Sus scrofa: one gene and its partners. The protein of the gene in region 1 interacts with the protein of each later gene in a biochemical or structural test. Links are inferred from orthologs where the notes say so. Each region holds a gene or a part of one and is shown in the gene's direction. Other genes may lie near its edges. The genes, in order: histone H2A type 2-C, RNF168, RNF8, USP16, UBR2, KAT2A and MYSM1.

Evidence for each region.
Region 2: of the proteins of histone H2A type 2-C (region 1) and RNF168, one has a biochemical effect on the other in vitro, tested with the Homo sapiens proteins (4 studies listed by BioGRID, with this or other methods). The link is inferred for Sus scrofa from reciprocal best matches to the Homo sapiens genes H2AC20 and RNF168.
Region 3: of the proteins of histone H2A type 2-C (region 1) and RNF8, one has a biochemical effect on the other in vitro, tested with the Homo sapiens proteins (2 studies listed by BioGRID). The link is inferred for Sus scrofa from reciprocal best matches to the Homo sapiens genes H2AC20 and RNF8.
Region 4: of the proteins of histone H2A type 2-C (region 1) and USP16, one has a biochemical effect on the other in vitro, tested with the Homo sapiens proteins (2 studies listed by BioGRID). The link is inferred for Sus scrofa from reciprocal best matches to the Homo sapiens genes H2AC20 and USP16.
Region 5: the proteins of histone H2A type 2-C (region 1) and UBR2 form a complex in vitro, tested with the Homo sapiens proteins (2 studies listed by BioGRID, with this or other methods). The link is inferred for Sus scrofa from reciprocal best matches to the Homo sapiens genes H2AC20 and UBR2.
Region 6: of the proteins of histone H2A type 2-C (region 1) and KAT2A, one has a biochemical effect on the other in vitro, tested with the Homo sapiens proteins (2 studies listed by BioGRID). The link is inferred for Sus scrofa from reciprocal best matches to the Homo sapiens genes H2AC20 and KAT2A.
Region 7: of the proteins of histone H2A type 2-C (region 1) and MYSM1, one has a biochemical effect on the other in vitro, tested with the Homo sapiens proteins (2 studies listed by BioGRID). The link is inferred for Sus scrofa from reciprocal best matches to the Homo sapiens genes H2AC20 and MYSM1.

Annotation. Positions count from the first base shown.
Region 1 is NC_010446.5:99,168,243-99,170,751, reverse strand, and holds histone H2A type 2-C, read left to right. Parts: upstream 1-1,481; 5' UTR 1,482-1,556; coding exon 1,557-1,946; 3' UTR 1,947-2,009; downstream 2,010-2,509. Other genes in the region: histone H2B type 2-E, read right to left, coding at 851-1,231; histone H2A type 2-B, read right to left, coding at 2,105-2,497. UniProt on the Homo sapiens protein: Core component of nucleosome. Nucleosomes wrap and compact DNA into chromatin, limiting DNA accessibility to the cellular machineries which require DNA as a template.
Region 2 is NC_010455.5:133,624,323-133,628,345, forward strand, and holds the start of RNF168 (E3 ubiquitin-protein ligase RNF168), read left to right. Parts: upstream 1-1,223; 5' UTR 1,224-1,476; exon of another isoform or gene 1,477-1,711; intron 1,712-1,798; 5' UTR 1,799-1,838; coding exon 1,839-2,139; intron 2,140-4,023. UniProt on the Homo sapiens protein: E3 ubiquitin-protein ligase required for accumulation of repair proteins to sites of DNA damage. Acts with UBE2N/UBC13 to amplify the RNF8-dependent histone ubiquitination.
Region 3 is NC_010449.5:32,959,312-32,962,811, forward strand, and holds part of RNF8 (E3 ubiquitin-protein ligase RNF8), read left to right. Parts: intron 1-2,029; coding exon 2,030-2,234; intron 2,235-3,346; coding exon 3,347-3,393; 3' UTR 3,394-3,500. UniProt on the Homo sapiens protein: E3 ubiquitin-protein ligase that plays a key role in DNA damage signaling via 2 distinct roles: by mediating the 'Lys-63'-linked ubiquitination of histones H2A and H2AX and promoting the recruitment of DNA repair proteins at double-strand breaks (DSBs) sites, and by catalyzing 'Lys-48'-linked ubiquitination to remove target proteins from DNA damage sites.
Region 4 is NC_010455.5:192,379,882-192,383,381, forward strand, and holds part of USP16 (ubiquitin carboxyl-terminal hydrolase 16), read left to right. Parts: exon of another isoform or gene 1-749; 5' UTR 750-790; coding exon 791-851; intron 852-3,065; coding exon 3,066-3,241; intron 3,242-3,500. UniProt on the Homo sapiens protein: Specifically deubiquitinates 'Lys-120' of histone H2A (H2AK119Ub), a specific tag for epigenetic transcriptional repression, thereby acting as a coactivator.
Region 5 is NC_010449.5:37,781,308-37,784,807, forward strand, and holds part of UBR2 (E3 ubiquitin-protein ligase UBR2), read left to right. Parts: intron 1-1,224; coding exon of another isoform or gene 1,225-1,279; exon of another isoform or gene 1,280-1,421; coding exon 1,422-1,563; 3' UTR 1,564-3,500. UniProt on the Homo sapiens protein: E3 ubiquitin-protein ligase which is a component of the N-end rule pathway.
Region 6 is NC_010454.4:20,641,493-20,644,728, forward strand, and holds part of KAT2A (histone acetyltransferase KAT2A), read left to right. Parts: intron 1-212; coding exon 213-319; intron 320-512; coding exon 513-623; intron 624-708; coding exon 709-848; intron 849-932; coding exon 933-1,141; intron 1,142-1,377; coding exon 1,378-1,504; intron 1,505-3,236. UniProt on the Homo sapiens protein: Protein lysine acyltransferase that can act as a acetyltransferase, glutaryltransferase, succinyltransferase or malonyltransferase, depending on the context.
Region 7 is NC_010448.4:153,783,240-153,786,739, forward strand, and holds part of MYSM1 (histone H2A deubiquitinase MYSM1), read left to right. Parts: intron 1-27; exon of another isoform or gene 28-164; intron 165-682; coding exon 683-757; intron 758-1,302; coding exon 1,303-1,491; intron 1,492-2,389; coding exon 2,390-2,522; intron 2,523-3,500. UniProt on the Homo sapiens protein: Metalloprotease with deubiquitinase activity that plays important regulator roles in hematopoietic stem cell function, blood cell production and immune response.

The DNA of each region.
Region 1 (2,509 bases):
CAGTGAGGGACCAGTACAGGCAGGAACAAGAGACGCAAATTCCTGAGTGGATGACTTGGGAAGGTCTCCAAGAGGTGACTTTTGAGCCCAGACTAAAACGACCAGCGCCTTGCAGTGACCCGAGGCCGGAGCGTTCCAAGAAGAGAGAACTGAATGCAAAAATGATCCACAAACAGAAATAGGGATTTCAAAGGGCCCAAGTGAGCGCCGGCGGGAGATTTTGAATATTCATGTCGTCCAATCAGGAAAAGGCTGAGACCAGGCAGCGCGGGCTCCGCAAGAAGTACCCTAGCAGCGGGTATCCACAGGAGGCTACATCTCAGGGCATAACTGGCGACCGGGCACTCAAGCAGCTGCCAGTTTCTCTGGACAATTCTTCAGGGCTGTGACGCAGTGTTCGCAGGACCTGGGCTTAGTTATGTTCTGGGGTCCTTTCTTAAATGAGAATAGCCCGAAATCAGTTTTGGAACACCAACGAGACGTATCCAACAGAGCCACCAGGATACAACAGTCTAGGATCAGACGATTGGGAGGAGCAGTCTCAATATCCTAATTTAGAACTGACTCATAGTAAAGCTAAGCAGCCCAGAAAGGGAGTTAAGACGCGCCCTACATTCAAAAGCAAAGCCAATCACGCACCAGAAACCTCAAGTCGGAAGAGCTTAAAAAGGTACGAATGCCTTCTTACAAGACCTTTTTAACCAACTAGAACTTACTTTGTGAGAAGGAACTAAGAGGGAAAACAAGTGAACAAAGCTCTTTTCTGGTGACTAGGTGGGTGGCTCTGAAAAGAGCCTTTTGGAGTCAAGCGGCACGGCGACTCGAGCGAGCGCCACGTCCCGGCAGGGACTCACTTGGAGCTGGTGTACTTGGTGACTGCCTTGGTGCCCTCGGATACGGCGTGCTTGGCCAGCTCGCCGGGCAGCAGCAGGCGCACGGCCGTCTGGATCTCCCGGGACGTGATGGTCGAGCGCTTGTTGTAATGAGCCAGGCGGGACGCTTCGCCCGCGATGCGCTCGAAGATGTCGTTGACGAAGGAGTTCATGATGCCCATGGCCTTGGACGAGATGCCCGTGTCCGGGTGCACCTGCTTCAGCACCTTGTACACGTAGATGGAATAGCTCTCCTTGCGGCTGCGCTTCCGCTTCTTGCCGTCCTTCTTCTGGGCTTTGGTGACGGCTTTCTTCGAGCCCTTCTTGGGCGCGGGAGCAGATTTTGCTGGCTCAGGCATTGTGGAACACAACACCGTTTAGCAAAGAAAAGAAGTATGAGAATGGGCGGGCCTGATCCTTTTATAACCACCGTATGCAAATTAAGGCTCCAAAAGTCTTCGGTTTCCATTGGACCGTGTAGAGACCTTGCGTTATCAGTAATGTCTACGCAACAACACCGACGCTTGACCTTATTGGCCACTTCTGGAGCCAATTTAGGACCAATGAAAAACTCGTTCCTGACCCCACCCCTAGGAAAGCTTATAAAGGCTTTCCAGTTGCTGATCTTTCAATCTTGTTTATTGCGAGAATCTGGGTTTAGGCTTCTAAATCTTCTTTTCAGTCATGTCCGGTCGTGGCAAGCAGGGAGGTAAGGCTCGCGCAAAAGCCAAGTCACGCTCGTCCCGCGCAGGCCTACAGTTCCCGGTGGGGCGAGTACACCGCCTGCTGCGCAAAGGCAACTACGCCGAGCGGGTGGGGGCCGGCGCGCCCGTCTACATGGCGGCGGTCCTCGAGTACCTGACCGCGGAAATTCTGGAGCTGGCGGGCAACGCGGCGCGAGACAACAAGAAGACGCGCATCATCCCCCGCCACTTGCAGCTGGCTATCCGCAACGACGAGGAGCTGAACAAGCTGTTGGGCAAAGTCACCATCGCCCAGGGCGGCGTCTTGCCCAACATCCAAGCTGTCCTATTACCAAAGAAAACCGAAAGCCACAAAGCCAAAAGCAAATAAATCCTGACACAGTAAACCAAAGACCAAAGGCTCTTTTTAGAGCCACCCAAGTTTTCAAAAAAAGAGCTAACGCGCTATTCTGTGATCAGCCCTTCATTTGACACTTTGGTGGCTCTTAAAAGAGCCTTTGGGGTGAAAGGGGATGGTGTCAGGCCTGATTACTTATTCTTGCCAGGCTTGTGACTCTCCGTTTTCTTGGGCAACAAGACTGCCTGGATATTAGGCAAGACGCCGCCCTGGGCAATAGTGACACCCCCCAGTAACTTGTTGAGCTCTTCGTCATTTCTCACGGCTAGTTGCAAATGGCGAGGGATGATACGCGTCTTCTTGTTGTCTCGCGCCGCGTTGCCCGCCAGCTCCAGGATTTCCGCGGTCAGGTACTCCAGCACTGCCGCCAGGTACACCGGCGCGCCGGCCCCCACCCGCTCGGCGTAGTTGCCTTTGCGCAGCAGGCGGTGTACTCGCCCCACCGGGAACTGCAGGCCTGCCCGGGACGAGCGCGACTTGGCCTTGGCCCGAGCTTTGCCTCCCTGCTTTCCGCGTCCTGACATTACGGCTAAAAA
Region 2 (4,023 bases), on another chromosome or scaffold:
AGACACCCCCCCCCCCCCCGTCATGATGACTAAGCAAAGTCCAGCCACCTGCCCCTAACCACCCCTCCCTCACGCATCTGCTGCAGTAAGCTTGCTTCCGCATCTACTACCTTGCCTGACCTCACTCTGGTCCGCCAAGCAGGAGCTCAGAAGAGGTAGCCCATAAAAACTTTGTGAAAGACTTCTTCCGGGCTCAGACTCTGGAGAGCAATCTCCTCTGAGCCTGCCGGCATAATAAACGTGAATTCTCCAACTTTCCCAGTGCTCACTTGGTTTCTCCCTGGGTAAAAGAGCTGAAACACTGCAGCCACAGGGCTGTCGCTAGAGCTGATACGCTGCAGCGCAGGGCTGTTGAGCAGCTGCCTTAACAAAACCAAGTGGGAAAACATTTCAAAATGCATAAAGTTAAAATATTTTCCTTTTGACTTCTTTTGTAATTTTGATTGGTCTAGACTGAAATTAAACAATAAAGCAGTGCCTTATAATTGATGCACATGTTGGCTAAGCCCCAGGATCCTGCCAGTCCTACAGTTTGTTTCCCAAGTACCTGTTAAATTGTAGCAAGTTTGCAGATTCTTTGACCACAGCCTTTCTCAGAAATCATCCTAGAGATGCTTTTACAAGAACTCTGGAAAGCGACCTAAGAGGCTTCCTTACAAATGAAAAGAAACAAGGGTAGTTTGAGGAGTACTAAGGGAAGAATTTAAAAATTATTGTCAAGCTTTTTTGGGGGGGGCGCACCCACTGCACAGAAGAGTGACAGGACCACGGATCGAATCCAAGCCACAGGTAAGAACTATGCAGCAGCTTCAGCAATCTGGGATCCCCAACCCACTGCACAGGGCCAAGGATCAAACTAGCCTCCGCGGCAAACCGGACCCTTAAAGCACTGCGCCACAGCGGGAACTCCATCGGCTTTTAATTTGCCTTTAAGTTTCACTTTTTCTGACAAGAGACCAACCTTGCGACATACCCTGATTTCTGCAGCCTCTGGGAGCAGAAATCAAGAGGGAAATACTAAAGTGCAGTCAATGTGACGACGCAGGGTCTGCGAAGAAAGGACTGCAACACACCGAGAAGACCAGCTCTGGGGGGGCGGGGCGCGGGGCTCGGGTCGGGCAGCGCGCGCAGACTCGGAAGTCCCGCCCCAATGTTAGCCCTCTCTACCTTTGGTTGGTTCTCTAGGTGGGAGGGGCTGTTTTGGCGGGCAGTCGTGACGTCACTAGCCCTTGTCGGGTTGCTACAGCACCGCGCCAAGGTTAGGCTTTTGGGTAGATGGAAGAGAGGGAGGGGCGGGCTCAGAGCGCCCGGAAGGGCTCGCGCGCGGCCCCCGACAATGGTAAAACGGAAGTCCTACTCCTTCGGAGCTCCTCGTCCGGGCGGAAGAAGCGTTCTTCCTCTAGCGGTGGCTGCGTAGCTGCGCGCCTCTGCGGTCTGCGGCTTGGCTTCCGGGAGCTACGGGAGCATCCTCACCTGGTAAGAGAAAGGAGGGGAACTTGGCGCGTGCCTCCTGCGGGGGCCAGAGAGCCCACCATCCGCCCTGCCGCAACGGCTGTTAATGCTGGGAGCAGTCAAGGTTCATTTGTTTTCATTTCGGACGTTTGTCTTAACATGGACAAACACACTTCCTTCCACGGTCGTACTGTTTACCTGACCCTCAGAACACTTTTTTGCTTTAAAGACATTTGATGTTCCCAGTCTCTGAATTCTGGTAGGCTACTGGGCATAAAATTTAAACACAAAACTTAATTCGCTTTCTCCGAACTTGGGCTGTAGATGAGGATTCTTTCTCTTTCAGGTGTTGATGTTGATTGAATATGCCTTTTTAGCATATTAAAATGGCTGTACCCAAGGACGCCATCCCTTCATTGTCGGAATGCCAGTGCCAGATCTGTGTGGAAATTCTATTTGAGCCTGTGACACTCCCTTGTAACCACACGCTGTGTAAACCATGCTTCCAGTCGACTGTCGAAAAAGCAAATTTGTGCTGCCCCTTCTGTCGCCGCCGAGTCTCTTCGTGGACTCGACACCGCACCCGAACAAATTCTCTTGTCAACATGGAACTGTGGAAGATAATTCAGAAACACTATCCAAAAGAATGCAAGCTTAGAGCCTCTGGGCAAGAATCAGAGGAAATTGGTGAGTAAAAATCCAGCTTGTTCATTGTCTAAAAACCAAAATCTTTTAAAAAGCGAATCATCACTAGTCTTTTTTTTTTTTTTCAAGGATAAAAAAAGAAAATCTGGGTTAGTATTTGTCCAAATTTTTCACATCTTTGAGTTTAATGGGCCCTAAAATGTTGGTTAAGGTCACAATGGCAAGATTTGGTTCATTGTTTTAAGGCATAGGCTTAGTTTGGTCGGTGTTTGTTGGGTTAAAAATGAAAAGAAAACCAAAAAAAAAAAAAAGAAACAAAAGAATTACCTACTAGGGTCTTAAATTGTGTCGAAAGTTATATAAATAGTCACAGATGAGCAACAGTCAGTATGGCAGCAGCAGAAGTAAGGAAACTGCTGGATTCCTGTGTTAATATTTTTTTTATTTTCAGTTACTTTTCTCTAACTTTCTTGCCTATACATCTCCATTCATTTAGTTCTTAAGCTTTCAACAAGCCTAAAATAGCTTTCTGTGGCCAGTTTCCTCTAGTTCAGTCATTTTTATTCAAAGCCCTCCACAGTGTGGACTTAACAACTCTTCATTTTGCCCCCAGACTTTAGCGGCTTGACCACTTATGTGGTCATTAAGCCCTGCAGTGTTTCTTCTCCAGGCTTAAATGTGATGTGGATGCTCTGGTGTACTTGCTTTTTTTGGGAATTCTTTTTATTATGGTAAAATTTGCCATTTTAACCATTTTTAAGTGTACAATTCAGTGTCATTAATTACTTTCACAGTGTTTGGAAACTGTCACCACTGTTGCCAAAACTTTCATCACACCAGACAACTTCTTTAACCATTAAGCATCCCATTCTCCTTACTCCATCCCACTCCTGCTTTTCGGAGTTTCTAATCTCTGTGAATTTGCTTGTTCTAGATAATTTATGTAAGTGTATTCATACAGCGAATGATCTGTTGTGTCTGTTTTCTTTCACTTAGCATAATGTTTCATGCCGCCTTCTTTTTCTTTCTTTCTTTCTTTCTTTCTTTCTTTCTTTCTTTCTCTTTTCCTTTTCTTTTCTTTTCCTTTTCTTTTTTTTAAAGGGCCAAACCTGTGGTATATGGAAGTTCCCAAGCTATGGGTTGAATCAGAGCTGCAGCCGCCTGCCTGTGCCACAGCCACAGCCGGAGCAATGCTGGATCCAAACTGCATCTGCAACCTACTCCACAGCTTGTGGCAACATCAGCTCCTTTAACCCACTGAGTGAGGCCAAGGATCGAACCTGAATCCTCATAGATACTACTCGAGTTGTTAACCCACTGAGCTGCAACGGGAAGTCTACCGCGTTCTATCTTTATCAGTACTCCATCCCTTTTTATGGCTGAATAATATTCTACTCTATGGATATATTGTATTTTGTTCCTTCATCCATTGTTGGACATTTGGGTAGTTTCCACCTTTTGGCTATTTCAATAGTACTGATATGAATATTCATGTGCAAGTGTTTGAATGTGTTTTCATTTCTTTTGTGTACATATCTAGGAGTGGAATTGCTGGATCATATGGTAATTCTATGTTTAGCTTTGTGAGGAACTGCCTGGCTAGTGTTTACCATTAAAATTGCCATTGTTTTCACGAGTGCCTTTAGACTTGGGCTAATCCATATTCTGTTCATTGTGAAGTCAGTGTCTTTGAGGGAAATCTTTGGAGCTCTCAGTTCTTACTGCCTGCCTTTTTTCCCTGGGCAAAACATCTGAGCCACTGCTCTCTAGCTGGAAGCAGAGACTACAGCTTATTTCTCTTTGTTGGAACAGGTCAGTGCATAGGCATGCTAGTTCTGGTCTCCTTGACTCTTCTAGAACTTTTTTTGCCCTATGAGTGGGCTGTAATGAGGGCAGTGGGGTCCCAGTTTCTTCTTGCTGTGCCTG
Region 3 (3,500 bases), on another chromosome or scaffold:
TTCTGCACAGACTTTTTTTTTTTTCACTATTTCTCATTTGTGACCCATTCATCTTAACACCACAGGTGTTAGACTCAAGTTGTTAAATAAATAAAAAAGGAGTGCTTTTCAGATTCCTTTTTGAATTTTTTTGGCCATACCCATGGCATGCAGAAGTTCTTGGGCCAGCGATCAAACCAGCGCCACAGCAGTGACAATGCCAGATCCTTAACCCCCGATGGGCCATGAAGGAACTCCAGGCAGACTCCTTTGAAAAAGAGATCTCATACACACACTGCTGCTTTTTTTCTAGTGGTCTCTAGGGAGACGCAGTGTGGTAGCCTCCTGAAAAGTCTCTCCTGGATAGACCTGGTTCTTTTGCTTTAGATCCACTTTGACTCAGATCGTCATTTCCCCCAATTTCTAGTCATTTGATTTCCTACTTTGGAGAAACTCAGTTAGTGTTGTTTTGTTGGGGCTTATGGGCTCTAATAGAGGAAGACAAGAGGGATTGGAATGGGTGCTAAGTTAGGTAATTGAGAGCATCTGTACAGCATGAAGAAGAGAGAACTTGACCTGGGTTTGATTTGCAGGTGTGCCTGACCATTTCTGCTGATCATCTCTTAAAGTCCGTGTTGGGGAGTTCCCGTCATGACTCAGTGGTTAACGAATCTGACTAGGAACCATGAGGCTTTGGGTTTGATCCCTGGTCTCACTCAGTGGGTTAAGGATCTGGTATTGCCATGAGCTGTGGTGTAGGTCGCAGACATGGCTCGGATCCCTCATTGCTGTGGCTGTGGTGTAGGCCGGCGTTACAGCTCTGATTAGACCGCTAGCCTGGGAACCTCCGTATACCATGGGTGTGGCCCTAGAAAAGACAAAAAAAAAAAAAAAAAAAGTCAGTATTGGGAAGAGGTTTCTTTTTTTTTTTTTTTTTTTGTCTTTTTAGGGCCATACCCGTGGCATATGGAGGTTCCCAGGCTAGGGGTCTGATTGCAGCTGTTGCTGCCAGCCTTCACCAGAGGCATAGCAACACAGGCTCCAAGCACTGTATGCAACCTACACCACAGCTCACAGCAATGCTGGATCCTCAACCCACTGAGCGAGGCCAGGGATCGAACCTGCAACCTCATGGTTCCTAGTCAGATTCGTTTCCCAGTGCGTCACAACAGGAACTGCAAGAGGTTTCATTTTAATCATGCAGGTTTTTAGTGCTGTTTATGAGAATTGATCTCATTCTTTACTGAGAACTTCTCCTAGTTGGCTTTCTGGTCTCAACTTGGCATTTGGAAAATACGTAATTTCTGTGTTATTTTCTGCTGCTGTCCTGAAAGCCAGAATGAGATTTTTGAGCCTCAGAAAAAGTTGTTTCTTAGGAGGTATACATAAAAGGGAGTAATGCAAAGAATGGCTTATATTGGGGGAGTGAAAAGAGCCTGGGCAGAACTAGCTGATCATTGGGGTTCCTCAGAGGAGCTGCTCAGATTCAGACTTGCTTCTGCTTTCTCTCTTCTCATAGGCTTTTTTACTTAAGGCACTCTCAGTTGAACCCATTACATTTCACCCCCATTTTTAGTTCCTTTTTTCCCAGCTTAAGTTCTCTTTTCTCTTGCATCTATTAAAATTGAGTTTGTAATTCCCCATTAGGATGTACATTTGTTTTTCATGAGAGAATTAACGGTGTATTTATACCAAACACTCACAGGCTTACCAGTGTTCTTATGTCTGGTGACATTTTTTTGCACAGTAGCTGGTACATGTTGGCAGCATGAGATACCTGAGTTTGGAACAGAATAGGCAAATCAGCCTACCTGGAAGCCAAGTCTAGGAACTTAACTTTGAGAGAGAAAAATGAATCATCTAACATGAAGCTTAAAATTTCCCATTCCTAGGAATGATTCTGATACCCTTTGTAAACCCCCTGGATGAGGCTGTGATTAAATTTCCATTTGGCCTTGGGAATTCACTTCTGTCTTAGTTCAAGGATCACAACGGCCCTGGGGAAGTAACCATGACAGTTCTGATGTGTGTGTTCACCTTCCCATTCTAGGCTGTCACCTTGAACTGTGCCCATAGTTTCTGCTCCTTCTGTATCAATGAGTGGATGAAGCGGAAGGTAGAATGCCCCATTTGTCGGAAGGACATCAAGTCCAAAACACACTCCCTGGTTCTGGACAATTGCATTAATAAGATGGTAGATAATCTGAGCTCAGAAGTGAAAGAACGACGAGTTGTTCTCATCAAGGAACGAAAAGGTGAGTGGGTCTGAACAAGAGGTGAGTCCCCTCAACCAAAGGCTTAGGATGATTTTTTTGGATGGAGAGGAGTCAACATAAATGATTCTTTTGTTTTGTTTTGTTTAAAGATTCTTGAGCTAAGTGAGAATTGGAAGAAATGGGGGAAAGTAAAGCAAGTTAAAGATAGTGAATGTGTAAGAGTTGAGGTAGAATAAACTATTATTTGAGCAGCAGGGAATGGTATGGCTTGGGTGTACATGTCTTGGTTGCTGGCATAAAGATGTGATTAGAAAACAGTTTGCTGTGCTGGTCACTAGATGGTGCTGTTGTTCAAGACAGTTTAGTTGCTGTCCATGTGTCATTAAAAACCTTGGGTGTATAATAAATTATAAATAGGATGTGTACGCGTAAAAGACTCACACCTTGGAGAATGCCAAGAAATGTGAGGAAAACATATTTAGATTCACAGTAAGAGTCACAGCTTGATTACACAAATTAGGCATAATATTAATCAAAAAGAAATCAGTTTAATCCTACTGTGTTAACTTTGGACATCCTAATATATTTACCAACAAGTTTCCCAGGCAGAGAGTTTGGATAAAGAGTTTAGGGAAGGAGCGGGTGAGTTTCCTCAAGTAACCATATTTGTGTAGTGACTATCTGCTCATTTAACTAAGTGAGGTCATCACATCTGGCGCCTGCACTGCTGAGGGTTGCAGAGCCACTCTGCATGAGACTTGAATGTCGCTGTGGCAGAAGAATGTGTCTCCTGGGGCAAAGCACAAGGAAGCTAGTGGATCAGAAGGATTGGTTACTGGGTGGGGAAGAGTGCCTGGAGGCAGGATGGATCTGATTATCATGTTCAGTCCCTTTAAAAACCCAGTGGGATTCCCACTGTGGCTTAGTGGTAACAAACCCAACTAGTATCCATCAGGAGCCAGGTTCGATCATCAGCCTCTCTCAGTGGGTTAAGGATCCAGTGTTGCCGTGAGCTATGGTGTAGGTCGCAGACATGGCTCAGATCCTGTGTTGCTGTGGTTGTGGTGTAGGCCGCAGCAACAGCTCCGATTAGACCCCTAGCTGGCAGCCCTAAAAAGACAAAAATAAATAAAAGTTCACCTCCCTTCCAGGTGCTTCCCACCATCTGACTGTTGGGAACCCATGTTCGTGTGTGTGAAGTTGAAGGTTTAAAAGCCACACTGCTAAGAACAAGATCATCTGCCTACTGCATGCTTTCTCCTAGTCCTTCAGTAGATAACAGCCACTTTGAGGAGGACCAGAAAT
Region 4 (3,500 bases), on another chromosome or scaffold:
ATAATAAAGCTAGATGGACTTATATGTACTTTCAATGTTTTTCATGTTTTTAAATTTTGAATTGTTGACCAAAGAGGTGAAGATTTGATATGAACTAGATTTGTCATAGTCTTCCAAACTGATTTTGGCAAGAATAATAATGTAAATGGTTGAGAATGTAGATGTAATCAATTTTCAGCTAACATCCATAGCAAGTCCTGGTGTGGAAAAATGCAACACTGCGTATCACAGTGTTTTATATGTGGCTTTGAAGTTATTTTGTAAATTTTCTAACTCCTTCTCAGAGATTGTTCTCAGAATTATTTTAAATTTTCTTTGAGAAATTATCATTCTAATTGCATTACCTGCAAGAGTTAAGAAAGATAGCTTAGAAGGAAGGGAAATTACATTTCAAAGTGCCACCACTATTCCACATTTACGTAGTGAGAAGTTGAATTCCTAATAGTGTATAAAGTGCTGAGACTTTTCGAGATCTGTGTAAAAAGACATAGGTTGCCTCCTATGACCTTTGCATTTATTGTAGATTTCTTAATCTTACTAAGAATCAGCTTCTTGAGCCATGAAAAACAGAGGTAATACTCTGTCTACTTCAGAGTTCTTATGGAAAACTAGATTACATGTGTGAGTGGTTTTTATAACTTATAAAAGTATGATAGACACACAAAATGTGGTTTAGATATATTACTATCTCCTAGAGAATTGTGAAACATACTTTTTTTTTGTCAAGCTAACTTTATCTTGTCTTCTAGATTGTTATTTTGTGTCAGTAAGTAATCCATAAAGTGCCAACATGGGAAAGAAACGGACAAAGGGAAAAACTGTTCCAATTGATGATTCTTCTGAATCTTTAGGTATATTTCACCAATTAAATCTTTAATGGTATATATTTTAATATGTAAAAATAGGATCAAAGTGTACATTATTGTTCTTTAATTTGCGTTTTAACTTCATGTTTGTGTAGACATGTCATTTAATAGTCTTTGCAACATTTTAACAACATGATATTTATTCCAGTGATGTAAAAGACCATGAGTGTATATTTCATAATTTATTTAGATAATCCCCTATTGTTATAAATTTAGGTAGTCTTAACTTCATTGTTATGAATGGAGTGATAGCACACATTTTTTGTAGCTAAAACTCTGCACATCTGGTTATCTTCTCCTTACATATCCAAGAATTAGAGTTGCTGAATTAAATGGCATAAATATTTCAAGGCTCTTTGGATCTGTTGCCAAATTGTTCTTAGAAACATTTTACTAGGAAGTTCCCATTGTGGCACAGCGGAAACGAATATGACCAGTATCCATGAGGATGTGGGTTCAGTCCCTGGCCTCTTTCAGTGGGTTAGGATCCGGTGTTGCTGTGAGCTGTGGTATATGTAGTTCACAGACATGGCTCAGATCCCGAGTTGCCCTGGCTGTGGTGTAGGCTGGCAGCTGTAGATCTAATTTGACCTCTACCCTGGGAGCTTCAATATGCTGCAGGTGCAGCCCTAAAAAGCAAAAAACAAACAAAAAAAACCAGAAATGTGTTACTAATTGATAGGCCCCCTGGCAGGATAACATAGTGCTCATTTCCCTGAACCCTTATTAACACAGGTTAGCATCATTTGTAAAAAATCTTTGCTGATTTGCTAGTTGAAAAAGTATTTTCTTTTTTCTGGTTGTGTTTTTTTGGCTACTTGCTAGGATTTAGTAGTTTTTCACGTGATCTTATTTGCAGTTATATTTTTTTGGTGCAAGGTCGTTGGGCATAAAGCTGATTGTGCCACTTGATGAGTTTCTAAACCTTTAGGGGCCCTGAAAATACTGAAGCTCTTTAGAATGGCTTGCAAAGCCTGATACTGATCTGACCCTAGTGGGTTTTCATTCTCAAGTCCAGCTGCTCCTTTTTACACGTGTGACTGCCATTCTGAGCAGACAGCATGCACTTTTACATTTATATCTTCATTCCTTTGATTGCAGGATGTAGCCTCTTCCGATTGTTTTTTACCCCATGAGGTCATAGTTTAAACTATGAGCTTGAAATAAAGAAGACTTGAGTCCAAATTCCAGCATAACCACTCAGTAGCTCTGTGACCTCAAGCAATAAATTTGAGTTTTTTTCTCATCTGTCATTGGGATGGTAGTGTCTTCCTTCGAGGGTAGTTGTACAGAGTAAATGAGATACTGTGTGCAAACATTTAGTACAGTTTCTGGCTTGTGGTTAAGTGCTTAAACAATATGATAAATTTTTATTTCTGAAAATATCTTCCAAGATTATACAGACATTGCCTCCCTTGTGAAACTTTCATTGACATTAGCCTTCTTTTGGGCTACAATAGTATGTTTTGGAGATTCTTGTACATTTTTTTTTTTGTTGTTGTTGTTGTTGTTGCTATTTCTTGGGCCGCTCCCGCGGCATATGGAGGTTCCCAGGCTAGGGGTTGAATCAGAGCTGTAGCCACCGGCCTACGCCAGAGCCACAACAACGCGGGATCCGAGCCGCATCTGCAACCTACACCACAGCTCATGGCAATGCCGGATCGTTAACCCACTGAGCAAGGGCAGGGACCGAACCCGCAACCTCATGGTTCCTAGTCGGATTTGTTAACCACTGCGCCACGACGGGAACTCCATCTTGTACATTTATTTACTTATTTGCCTCTCCTGCCAGCATGGAGCTGCTCAAAGAAAGAGCTGTGAGTTGGTCACTTTTAGGTTTCCGGGCATCTACCACAGTGCCAGGCCTGCGCTGGCTGTGCTATTGACTATTGTTGAATGAGGGACCTTCTCTACAGACATTTTAAAATAAAAGAGAATAATGCATGTGATAAAGAAATTGAAGTGAATTTGGGGTGGTGGTGGTTATATGGAGGACTTCAAAATTTGTATAAAATCACTTTCTTACATAATCTCATAATCAAATATCAAACAAACAAAAATGTAAGGTTTTGGGTTATCTAACAATTTGTTTATAGAGTAAATTCATTTTTGAAGTTCAAATCAAGTGTGTAAGTTTTGAGATTAACTGAAGAAAGTCATATTTTACCTCATGTCCTCCTTTATTATTTGTTTTAATAGAACCCACATGCAGACACATTAGAAAAGGACTGGAACAAGGTAATTTGAAAAAGGCTTTGGTGAATGTGGAATGGAACATTTGCCAAGATTGTAAGACGGACAATAAAGTAAAAGATAAATCTGAAGAAGAAACAGAAAATCCTTCGGTTTGGCTTTGTCTTAAATGTGGCCATCAGGTATGCTTAGATTTTGATTCATGTGGGGTTTTATTAAACTCTTTGAACTTATTTTAGAAGGTATTACCTAAAAGCATGGTATGGGTAACCAGAATGTTAGCTAGCATATGTCATGTTCTCTGGGGAACAGATTCTGATATTGAAATTTGTGTGTAGGTGGTTTATTGGGGAGTGTTCTCAGGTACTGTGCCAGAAAAACAGTGAGGGAGCAGGGAGGTAATATGTGTACAAAGAGGCAGTGCTACGGGGCCTCAGCTGA
Region 5 (3,500 bases), on another chromosome or scaffold:
GGTGTGCCTGCTAAATAACCCCCTGGGGGGTGAGCACAGCTGGCTGCAGTCTGTGGACTCTGTCAAGGAGGTCACTCTGGCTATCTGGTTTGGCAGTCCCATTCCCAACTCTTAGAATGTCACGAGGGCCATCAGGATAATAAGGAGGGGAGGAAATGGGGCAGAGTGAAGTTTTTTTGTTTTTCACTCCAAAGAGCTATTCTGATTGTCCTGTGGCATCCATAGCATCGGAGCATTGCAGGAATAGCTCCTTGTAGCTTCTGTGGCTTTGTGTGGGAGGGCCAGCACTCTTCAAGTGATACAGAAGAACAAATCTTAATTGATAAGAGATGCATTTGATTTAGAACATACAGAGCAATACAGCAATACTTGAGGCTTAATCACTTTCACTCTGGTAGCTGCTATTACATCAAAAGCAGTTCTGCTAGGAGTTCCCATCGTGGCACAGCAGAAACAAATCTGACTAGGAACCATGAGGTTGTGGGTTCCATCCCTGGCCTCGCCCAGTGGGTTAAGGATCCGGTGTTGCCGTGAGCTGTGGCTTGGATCCTACATGGCTGTGGCATAGGCCAGTAGCTGTAGTTCTGATTCAATCCCTTGCCTGGGATCCTCCACATGCTGCGAGTGCAGCCCTAAAAAAAAAAAAAAAAAAAAAAAAAAAAAAAAAAAAAAAAAAATTTCTGCTAACAGCAATTCCTCAAGTATTATTAAAAAATTTTCAGACCATTTCTTTTTGCTCAAAGTGGGTAAAAGTCCAGCTTTGGGGAGTGGAAGTTAAAGGCCGGGAAACCAAGACAAGATAAGTAGATGGGCTCCCCAGACGCTTGACTGCAAGGATACTGCTTGTGCCACCTGCTAATGGTTCATCCTGCTGCTGTGAGGAGGATGGGCTCTCAGGAAGAAGAGCCCCAGCCAGAGAGTGAGAGCACTGGCGCTCCCAGCTGGGGACTCGCCAGGGCCTGTGCTCTGGTTACATTAGACCCTGAAGTTGTTCACATTCAGCTGCTTTGTAGCTGAAAGAAGGTACTTGAAGGAACATCTTTATCCCTGTAATTCTTCCATCCTCTCCCCTACCCCTCCCTGTTTTCTATTTTTCCAATAAAATGGACCATGAGTGGGTAGTTTTATAGCCTCTCAACCTAGACCCTCCTGCTCAACCCTACTCCGCTGGTCCCAGACCCTAATCTGAGTAAGTGTGGCTTGTGTTCGATTTCCTCTTTTCAGAATTTATTCCCCTTCAGCTGTTCCTAGCAAACCTTCAGAGCTAACATATTCATAGCCACAGACGCCTGCCAAAGAGAAATTTTGCAGAGGATCTGCAGAAGACCAGTAACTTGTAACTTTTCCTAAATCAGGAAAGGTTGGCATATAATAGATGAATGAACCGAATGCATCCTGAGTGACATGTGTCTTCTTTCTAGACGGGGCAATCCTTTACATTTGTGCAAAGAGCGATTTAAGAAGATTCAGAAGCTCTGGCACCAGCACAGTATCACAGAGGAAATTGGACATGCACAGGAAGCAAATCAGACACTGGTTGGCATTGACTGGCAACATTTATAATTACTTCACTACCAAAACACAAACTTGGATTTTGTAACCCAGTCGGCTTTTCAAGAAAGAGAATAGGAAATAGGTTCTACTGAATTTGGAAATAAAGTCTTTATTTAAGCTTTTCTTCCCAGTTTTATTTTTATAGTTTCTGGCTCCAGGGATTGATGAAAATCATCTGTCAGCAGATTTTCTTGCATCATTTGCTCGTGTCCCTCAAACTTCTTGAATTTTAGAATCCAGCAAGGAGCTTCTCTTCCTGGGCTGGACACAGCCCCTCTGTGGGCCTCTGACTGCGTTTGGCTGTTCCCGGTCGTCTGAGCCGTGTCTACTTCTTGAGCACCCGGGACTCCAGGCCTGAAGCTGATTCAACAGCAGCAGGAAACAAAGTCTCTGGTCTCTTGGGGTCACACTTCTTAGTCCCTCTCAGTGACTGTCAACGTTGGGACTGGGTCAGTGTCCCCACAGCTGACGGGACCCTACCTCTAAGCAAAGCAGTGGACTTTGAAAGTGGCATTTCCTTGCCTCCAGAAGCTGTGAGGGGGGAGGGTTGGGGGGGGACTCGTGCCGGTGGAGCCTGTGCATGGAAGGGGAGGAGGTGGTGTCTCTCTGTGCTGGATGATTTTCAGGGCTTTGTAAGTTTGGATTTTTGTAGGATTTTTGGCTTTGAGGGGAAAAAACTCATTTCAAAGGGCTTTTTGAAAACTTAGAGTATCATAATTTTTCAGACAATGTATTCTCTTATTTCTGAGACTAAGTTGAGAGAGTGTGTGCATCTAGAATCAAACACTAGCAAAAGAAAAGGAAAATTCCCCCACCCCCACCCCTTCCAGCACCTCCTGGGATAGATGAATTGCTGTTTACCTGCTGGCTCACTTAGTACATTCCTGGGACAGCCTGTGTGCCCAGGTTTTTTATTATTTTAAAACATTATTGTTCTTACTAAGAGGTGCCTTCCTAGAGTGATAGCCGCTTAGTAAAATAGCTTATAACCATGACACATCACACACCACTCCTGTGTGATACACGTGACGTGTGCTGTGAGCTTGGGTACGCAGAGTGAGGACCGATTTGGTAGAGAAATAAATACAGAGCCTCTCTGAGGTTAGGCTAAGGGACAAATGAATAGTAAGATGTTCTTGGATTTTTTTAGCCAATGCAAGTAACCTTTTCACTCAGTTTTCTTGAACTGCATCTAAAATTTCCGTTCTGCTTAGCTTTGCACACTCTACACAAGAGGAAGGTCAGAAATCCAGGAGTTCCCGTCATGGCGCAGTGGTTAATGAATCTGACTAGGAACCATGAGGTTGCGGGTTCGATCCCTGGCCTTGCTCAGTGGTTAAGGATCCAGCGTTGCCATGAGCTGTGGTGTAGGTCACAGACATGGCTAGGATCCTGCGTTGCTGTGACTCTGGCGTAGACCTGTGGCTATAGCTCCGATTAGATCCCTAGCCTGGGAACCTCCATATGCCACAGGAGCGGCCCTAGAAAAGGCAAAAAGACTGAAAAAAAAAAAAAAAAATCCAGACTTTCAGCTAAAGTATGTGGGGATGCAGAAGCCATACTCACTGTTTCCTCTCTGGGGTGGTGGTGAAGAACCCCTTTCTCTGAAAGGATGACCTTAACACTTCTTGCCTAGGATTGACTCAGTTGAGAGGAGGCGCTTCTCACCCAACAGAAAGAAAATCCACATTAGAACCCAGCACTTGCCCCCTTCTTCTGTCCTTTCTTCCATTCATAAGATCTAGTGATGTGGGCTGTGGATGACATCATGATTTTTTTTTCTTGGCCATACCCATGGCGTACATAAATTCCCAGGCCAGGGACTGAATCCACACCAGAGCAGGGACAACACGGGATCCGTAACCCACTAAATCACCAGGGCATCATGATTTTAATGTTTATTTAGGCCTTTGTCACATCCCCATTCCTTTAGCTTTTAAGTTGTG
Region 6 (3,236 bases), on another chromosome or scaffold:
TTCTGATCTGGATCATTCTGTTGCCCTCCCTTCAGTGAGGGGCTCCCAGAAATTGCAGGGGGCTGTGCCTCCTCATCTGAAGGCAGAGGCCGTCTCTGTTCTTAGGCGCCAGTTCCCTGAGGGCAGCCTCCAGTCCCTCCAGTGTCTGTCCCAGGCTGCTCCCTTGGTTGGAGGATGGAGCTGTGGGACAGACTGTGCCTCTCCCCCGCCAGATTCCTGTCCATGCTGGAGGAGGAGATCTACGGGGCAAACTCTCCGATCTGGGAGTCGGGCTTCACCATGCCGCCCTCGGAGGGAACCCAGATGGTGCCCCGGCCGGGTATGTGCCGTGTGCGGCCGGCCGGGCTCCGCAGGCTCTCGGCTTGGCCCTCCCCGCCTCTGTGGAGGAGGGGCTGTGCGTGGCGGCAGTGGGGAAGCACGGGAGGGCTCGGCCGTGGGTGGGAGAGTCCACCTCCCTTTGCAAGATGCGCCAGCGCCTTCGCTCTCCATCCTCTGGTTTTTTCGTGTCTCAGCTACAGTCAGTGCCGCGGTTGTTCCCAGCGCCCCCATCTTCAGCCCCACCATGGGTGGGGGTGGCAACAGCTCCTTGAGCCTGGACTCCGCAGGAGCCGAGCCCATGCCAGGTGGGTACTTGACCCCTGACCTCCGTCCTCGTCCCCCCCTCCCCCAACTTCTGCTCTCCCCGGGAGACCTTGTCAACCTCCTCAGCAGGCGAGAAGAGGAAGCTCCCCGAGAACCTGACCCTGGAGGATGCCAAGCGGCTCCGTGTGATGGGCGACATCCCCATGGAGCTGGTCAACGAGGTCATGCTCACTATCACGGATCCTGCTGCCATGCTGGGGCCCGAGGTGGGCCGCCTGGCTTCCTGACCGGTCGGGGAGGGGGCCTCGCCACCTGAGCCCCCTGCTTACCGCCCCTCCTCTGGCGCCCAGACGAGCCTGCTGTCGGCCAATGCAGCCCGGGACGAGACGGCCCGCCTGGAGGAGCGCCGTGGCATCATCGAGTTCCACGTCATCGGCAACTCGCTCACGCCCAAGGCCAACCGGCGGGTGTTGCTGTGGCTGGTGGGGCTGCAGAATGTCTTCTCGCACCAGCTGCCGCGCATGCCCAAGGAGTATATCGCCCGCCTCGTCTTTGACCCGTACGTCCCCAGGAGAGCCCAGCGCTGCCATGCCCAGGCACCTCCGCTTAGGCTTCTCCACTGCACTCGTGCATGCACGCACGCGCGCAGACACACACACACTCCTCTCTCCAACCCTGGGCACGTTTTGCTCCTTAGTTCCCAGCACTGAGTATAGCTCAGGCCTCCAGAGCTGCGGGGTCCTGGGGAGTATCTGGGGTCAGGTAGGGCCTGTGACCTGACACCTCTCCCTTCAGGAAGCACAAGACTCTGGCCTTGATCAAGGACGGGCGAGTCATTGGTGGGATCTGCTTCCGCATGTTTCCCACCCAGGGCTTCACGGAGATTGTCTTCTGTGCTGTCACCTCAAATGAGCAGGTCAAGGTGAGTCCATGCCCCTGGCCCCAGCTCCATCCCACCACCTGCTTCTTCATCTGGATCCCGTCATCCCACCCTCCTTTAATGGCCAGGCAGTTCCTCACCCTCCCACAAGGTGGCAGTTGTGGTTGATGACGGAATCAAGGAAACACCCGTTGACAAATGGAGCCCAAGAATCAGTTACACTTCTGTTTCCTTCTAGTTGGGTTTTTTTTTTCCTTTCTTTTTTCTTTTCTTTTCTTTTTTTTTTTTTAGGGCCACACCTGCGACATACAGAAGTTCCCAGGCTAGGGGCTGGACAGAGCTACAGCTGCCGGCCTACACTGCAGCTTGTGCCAATGCCAGATCCTTAACCCAATGAGCGAGGCCAGGGTTCAAACCCTCATCCTCATGGATCCTAGCCTGTTTCTTAACCCACTGAGCCACATCGGGAACTCCCTCATAGTATTTTGTTGTTGTTGTTGTTGTTGTTGCTATTTCTTGGGCTGCTCCCGCAGCATATGGAGGTTCCCAGGCTAGGGGTTGAATCGGAGCTGTAGCCACCCGCCTACGCCAGAACCACAGCAACGCAGGATCCGAGCCGCGTCTGCGACCTACGCCACAGCTCACGGCAACGCCGGATCGTTAACCCACTGAACAAGGGCAGGGACCGAACCTGCAACCTCATGGTTTCTAGTCGGATTCGTTAACCACTGCGCCACGACGGGAACTCCCCTCATAGTATTTTTGAGGTAAAACTGACCCATAGGACTGTGTGAGTTTAGGGTGTGCAGCATGGTGATTTGAGTCATATGCGTTTTGAAATGATTACCACAGTAAGTTTAGTGAACGTCCATCATCTCATATAGATACAAAATTAAAGGAATAGAAAAAATATTCTTTCTTTGTGATAAGAACTCTTCGGATTTATTTAATTTATTATTATTTTTTTTTGCCTTTTCTCGGGCCACTCCCACGACATATGGAGGTTCTCAGGCTAGGGGTCAAATCGGAGCTGTACCCACCGGCCTACACCACAGCTGCAGCAACACAGGATCTGAGCTGAGTCTGTGACCTATACCACAGCTCATGGCAACGCCGGATCCTTAACCCACTGAGCAAGGGCAGGGATCAGGGATCGAACCTGCAACCTCATGGTTCCTAGTCAGATTCATTAACCACTGAGCCACGACAGGAACTCCTCTTCAGATTATAGTAACACTTTTTTTTTTGTCTTTTGTCTTTTTTGGGGCTGCACCCATGGCACATGGAGGTTCCCAGGCTAGGGGTCCAGTCAGAGCTGTAGCCGCCGGCCTACACCACAGTCGCAGCAATGCAGGATCCAAGCCAAGTCTTCAACTTTCACCACAGCTCACGGCAATGCTAAATCCTTTACTGAGCGAGGCCAGGGATCGAACCGTCCTCATGGATGCTAGTTGGGTTCGTTAACCTCTGAACCATGATGGGAACTCCTACAGCAACACTTTTGAGTGGATCTGTATGTCCTTCATCAGAAGAACTTTTACTTGACATTGCGGAGTTAATAAGTTTTACAACAGCCCTGAGCTGGGTGGGTGATAATTCTGGTTTCTGTCCTTTATTGTTACAACAGACCCCCTAGTAGGATCCCTAGTTGTCCAGTTTTACAGATCTGAACAGGTCTGCATGGTGCCTCCTTGATCCTGATGTGTGCAGAAGTCACTGTCTCTGGGGGTTCAGATGCTGCGATGAGTGGAGTTCCCCCTCCCCCACCCAGTTC
Region 7 (3,500 bases), on another chromosome or scaffold:
TTCTATTCTTGTGTATTTTTATTGCAGGCATAAGAGAGAGTATGGAAGACGTGTATTTTGGATCTTAACTATCCTCTTTTACAAGGAATCTAAAAATAAGTCTTTTCTTTTGGAGAAAAGCCAAACAATTGCATGTTTCCATATTTTAGAGAAAATAAATTAATGTGAGTTTTTGCAGACTGTTTATTCCATTAACCCTATTTTAATCTCCTAGTATTCTTGTCTGCTGCCTTCTAGATAACTGCAACAAAGAGAACAACTCTTAGCATTTGGAGGCTTCTCGTTTTGTGCTAAAACACTGAGACCTCCAATAGTTGTGTGTGTGTGTTCATGATGTTTTTCCATAGGAGGACCCAGAGTGATTTTTCTTTGTATCCTTATGATACCTTTCCTCAGTAGAGAAAATAAATGTTATTTTCATTTTGTAAATGAAAGAAATGGCATCTTGGAGGGTTTTAGTGTTTGGTTCAAAGTTTCTTAGCCAGCAGTGAAAATAGATCTAAAATCTTAAGCCTTAGTATGCTGAGCCTAGCATCTGGTTCCTCTACTCTGCTACTCTACTTTAGAAAAAAGTAATTACTGCTATTGTAAATTACTCTCCTATGATAAGTGGGATTTTGATTTTTCTTCAGGTGGGTTTTATCTCTGTGTTTGAGTTGAGTCTGTTTTGTATTTCTTCTAGCATGCTCATGTATCTATGGCAGAAGTGATTGGTCTGTTAGGAGGAAGATACTCAGAAGTTGATAGGATAGTTGAAGTAAGTTTTTTTCTTAAAATTTTAAGAATTATTTAGTCCTGCCATACCAAATATTTTTATAGATTTAAGTGCATATAACTAACATACAGAGTTTATGATATAAATGAGAATATGCAAATGTGGAAAGTTATATATTCCCAGAGGTGGGTGGACATTCTGTGTAATGAGCATCTGTTTCCTTTTACCACCAAGAAAAGGAAATGCTGCCAGGCCTTGGTTCCTTGTTGGCCTTCACAATAAAAAACTTCAGCTGCTAAGAGGCTATGCTAACCTTATAGTTGAAACTTGCTCTATATCATTTGCTAGAAATTATCATCATAAATTATTGGGGTCATCAAAAGAATGTACAGATATGTACATTCTTAATTTGTTTAGGTAGAAAAATGGATTTTGAATTCCTAGCATACGGCCCCAGTTTTGGAGAGTAATTCATTTGCAGTTAAAGGCTGCCAGTGATATAGGCAAATGAAAGTTTCTTATCTGTGTATGAAAGGACTAAAACAATAAAGTAAAAGTGTAATCATTTAAGGATTAATCCTTTATAGGTCTGTGCAGCAGAACCATGTAACAGTCTGAGTACAGGACTGCAGTGTGAGATGGATCCTGTCTCACAGACACAAGCCTCGGAAACCTTGGCTGTCAGGGGCTATAGTGTTATTGGATGGTATCATTCTCATCCTGCCTTTGATCCTAATCCTTCCTTACGAGATATTGACACTCAAGCCAAATACCAGGTGTGTTTATAGGTCTTTGTGTATGTAGTCTGTAAATAATTGCATATTCTCACATTCTCTCAAGAGTAATTGTGTTTGTTTAAATTTAAAAAATTAGCTACCTTAATACACACAGGCCATCAAAATAACAGTGGTAATTCCTTCCAGAGCCTTCAAAAATAATGGGAATGACTGGTACAGGGACTGGGTAGAATTGAAATAATTTGGGAATATAATATATTTTGCATCTTTGGAAGAAACAAGATTTTGTTTTGTTCTGCATTTTGTATTGGATATTAGGATGTTTTTCCCACAGGCAGCTGTTTATAAATTATTACCACATTGATAAAGATTACAGCTGAGGGGTAGTGAATATGATTTGTAACTGTATTGATGCCAAATATAGATCTTGCAGGCCAGGCAATCTTTTTTTGTTTTATTTATTTACTTATTTATTTATTTATTTTTGTCTTTTTAGGGCCACATCCACGGCATATGGAGGTTCCCAGGCTAGGGGTCTAATCGAAGCTGTTGCTGCCAGCCTACACTGCGTCTGTGACGTACACCACAGCTCATGGCAATGCCAGATCCTTAACCCACTGAGCAAGGCCAGGGTTTGAACCTTGCAACCTTATGGTTCCTAGTCGGATTCGTTAACCACTGTGCCATGACGGGAACTCCCAGGTGATCTTTTTAATGGTGATCTTTTCAAGTTGGTTTGAACATGTTTTGGCCTGAAAAATTTAGGGTACAAAATGAATATAAAAGATGCTTAATTTCGTTGCTGTTTGGAAGTGAATTTTTTAACACATCTTTGCATTCCCTTTTCTTCTATTAGATGTTTAAAATGTTAGTATGGGTAAATACTAACTTGTAAATGTATGTAGTTGAAACTAATTACACTTTTTTTAAATTGTAGAGTTACTTCTCCAGAGGCGGTGCAAAGTTCATTGGAATGATTGTTAGTCCCTATAATCGAAATAATCCTTTACCTTATTCTCAGATTACCTGCCTTGTTATAAGTGATGAAGTTAGCGCAGATGGCTCTTACCGTAAGTTTTCAACAAAAACAACTTCAACTTTATCCTACTTCTGCCTTCCTTTTTTTGAATCACTATGCAAAGCAATTTTATGGAAAAGTTTGTGTCCTCAGCTGGAGCATCACTGCTTGGATACCATGTAGTATAGCCACCTGCTTTCCTTTTAGGATTTCCTTCTATATTCAAGTCCCCACTGTTACCATGGCCACTGGGCAAAAGGATTACGACATAGAGAAAACTTATTTATGGCCTTGGAGACATTGCAGTTAAAAAAAAAAAAAAAAAAAAGACAAAATCTCTGTTCTTTTAAAATTTTTTGATAAAGGCAGACTGGCTTTCTCTGTGATGGCATTGAAATGAAAAAAATACAAAGAATAATGACCACCCTATCACCAGCTCTCCTTGACCTCCCAGTGTAGGCTCAACAGTGCCTAATTATTTTTATATCTCTTAGTTTCCATTCTATCTCAAGAAATAATTTGGTTGGTTCAGCCCATCATATGACTTGGTTCCTTTGGGATTTATACCCACTTCTGGTCTAGTCAACTCTGGCTGGATAGAGAGTTAATGTAGCAGACCAGGAAAAGTAGAGGGGGCGTAAGAAACAATAGCATCTCTAGCATATTGTCTTCATCCTTAATACCTCTGCTCTGGGTCACTGCTGTCTCTGAATACTGTCACTCTACGTTATACTTTCCCCCATTAGCTCCTGAGCTCCTTAAAGGTAGATACACTATACTTCTTTTTCTATCCTCAGTTTCTAGCACAGGGCCTGGCATAAAGTAGGTAATAAACTAATGTTTAACAAATTAATTTCTTCATTTTTAATGATACCATTTAGATGCCCTCTCTTTGGTAAAGACCTCAGAACTACCACGCCCCCTCCCCCCCATGTCATTTATTATTAGTTGCTCTATTTGTGTTCTTGCCTTCATGGTCACTTTCGTCTCTCAGTGTAATTTATCTCCTTAGCCCGTCTCACTAAACTCT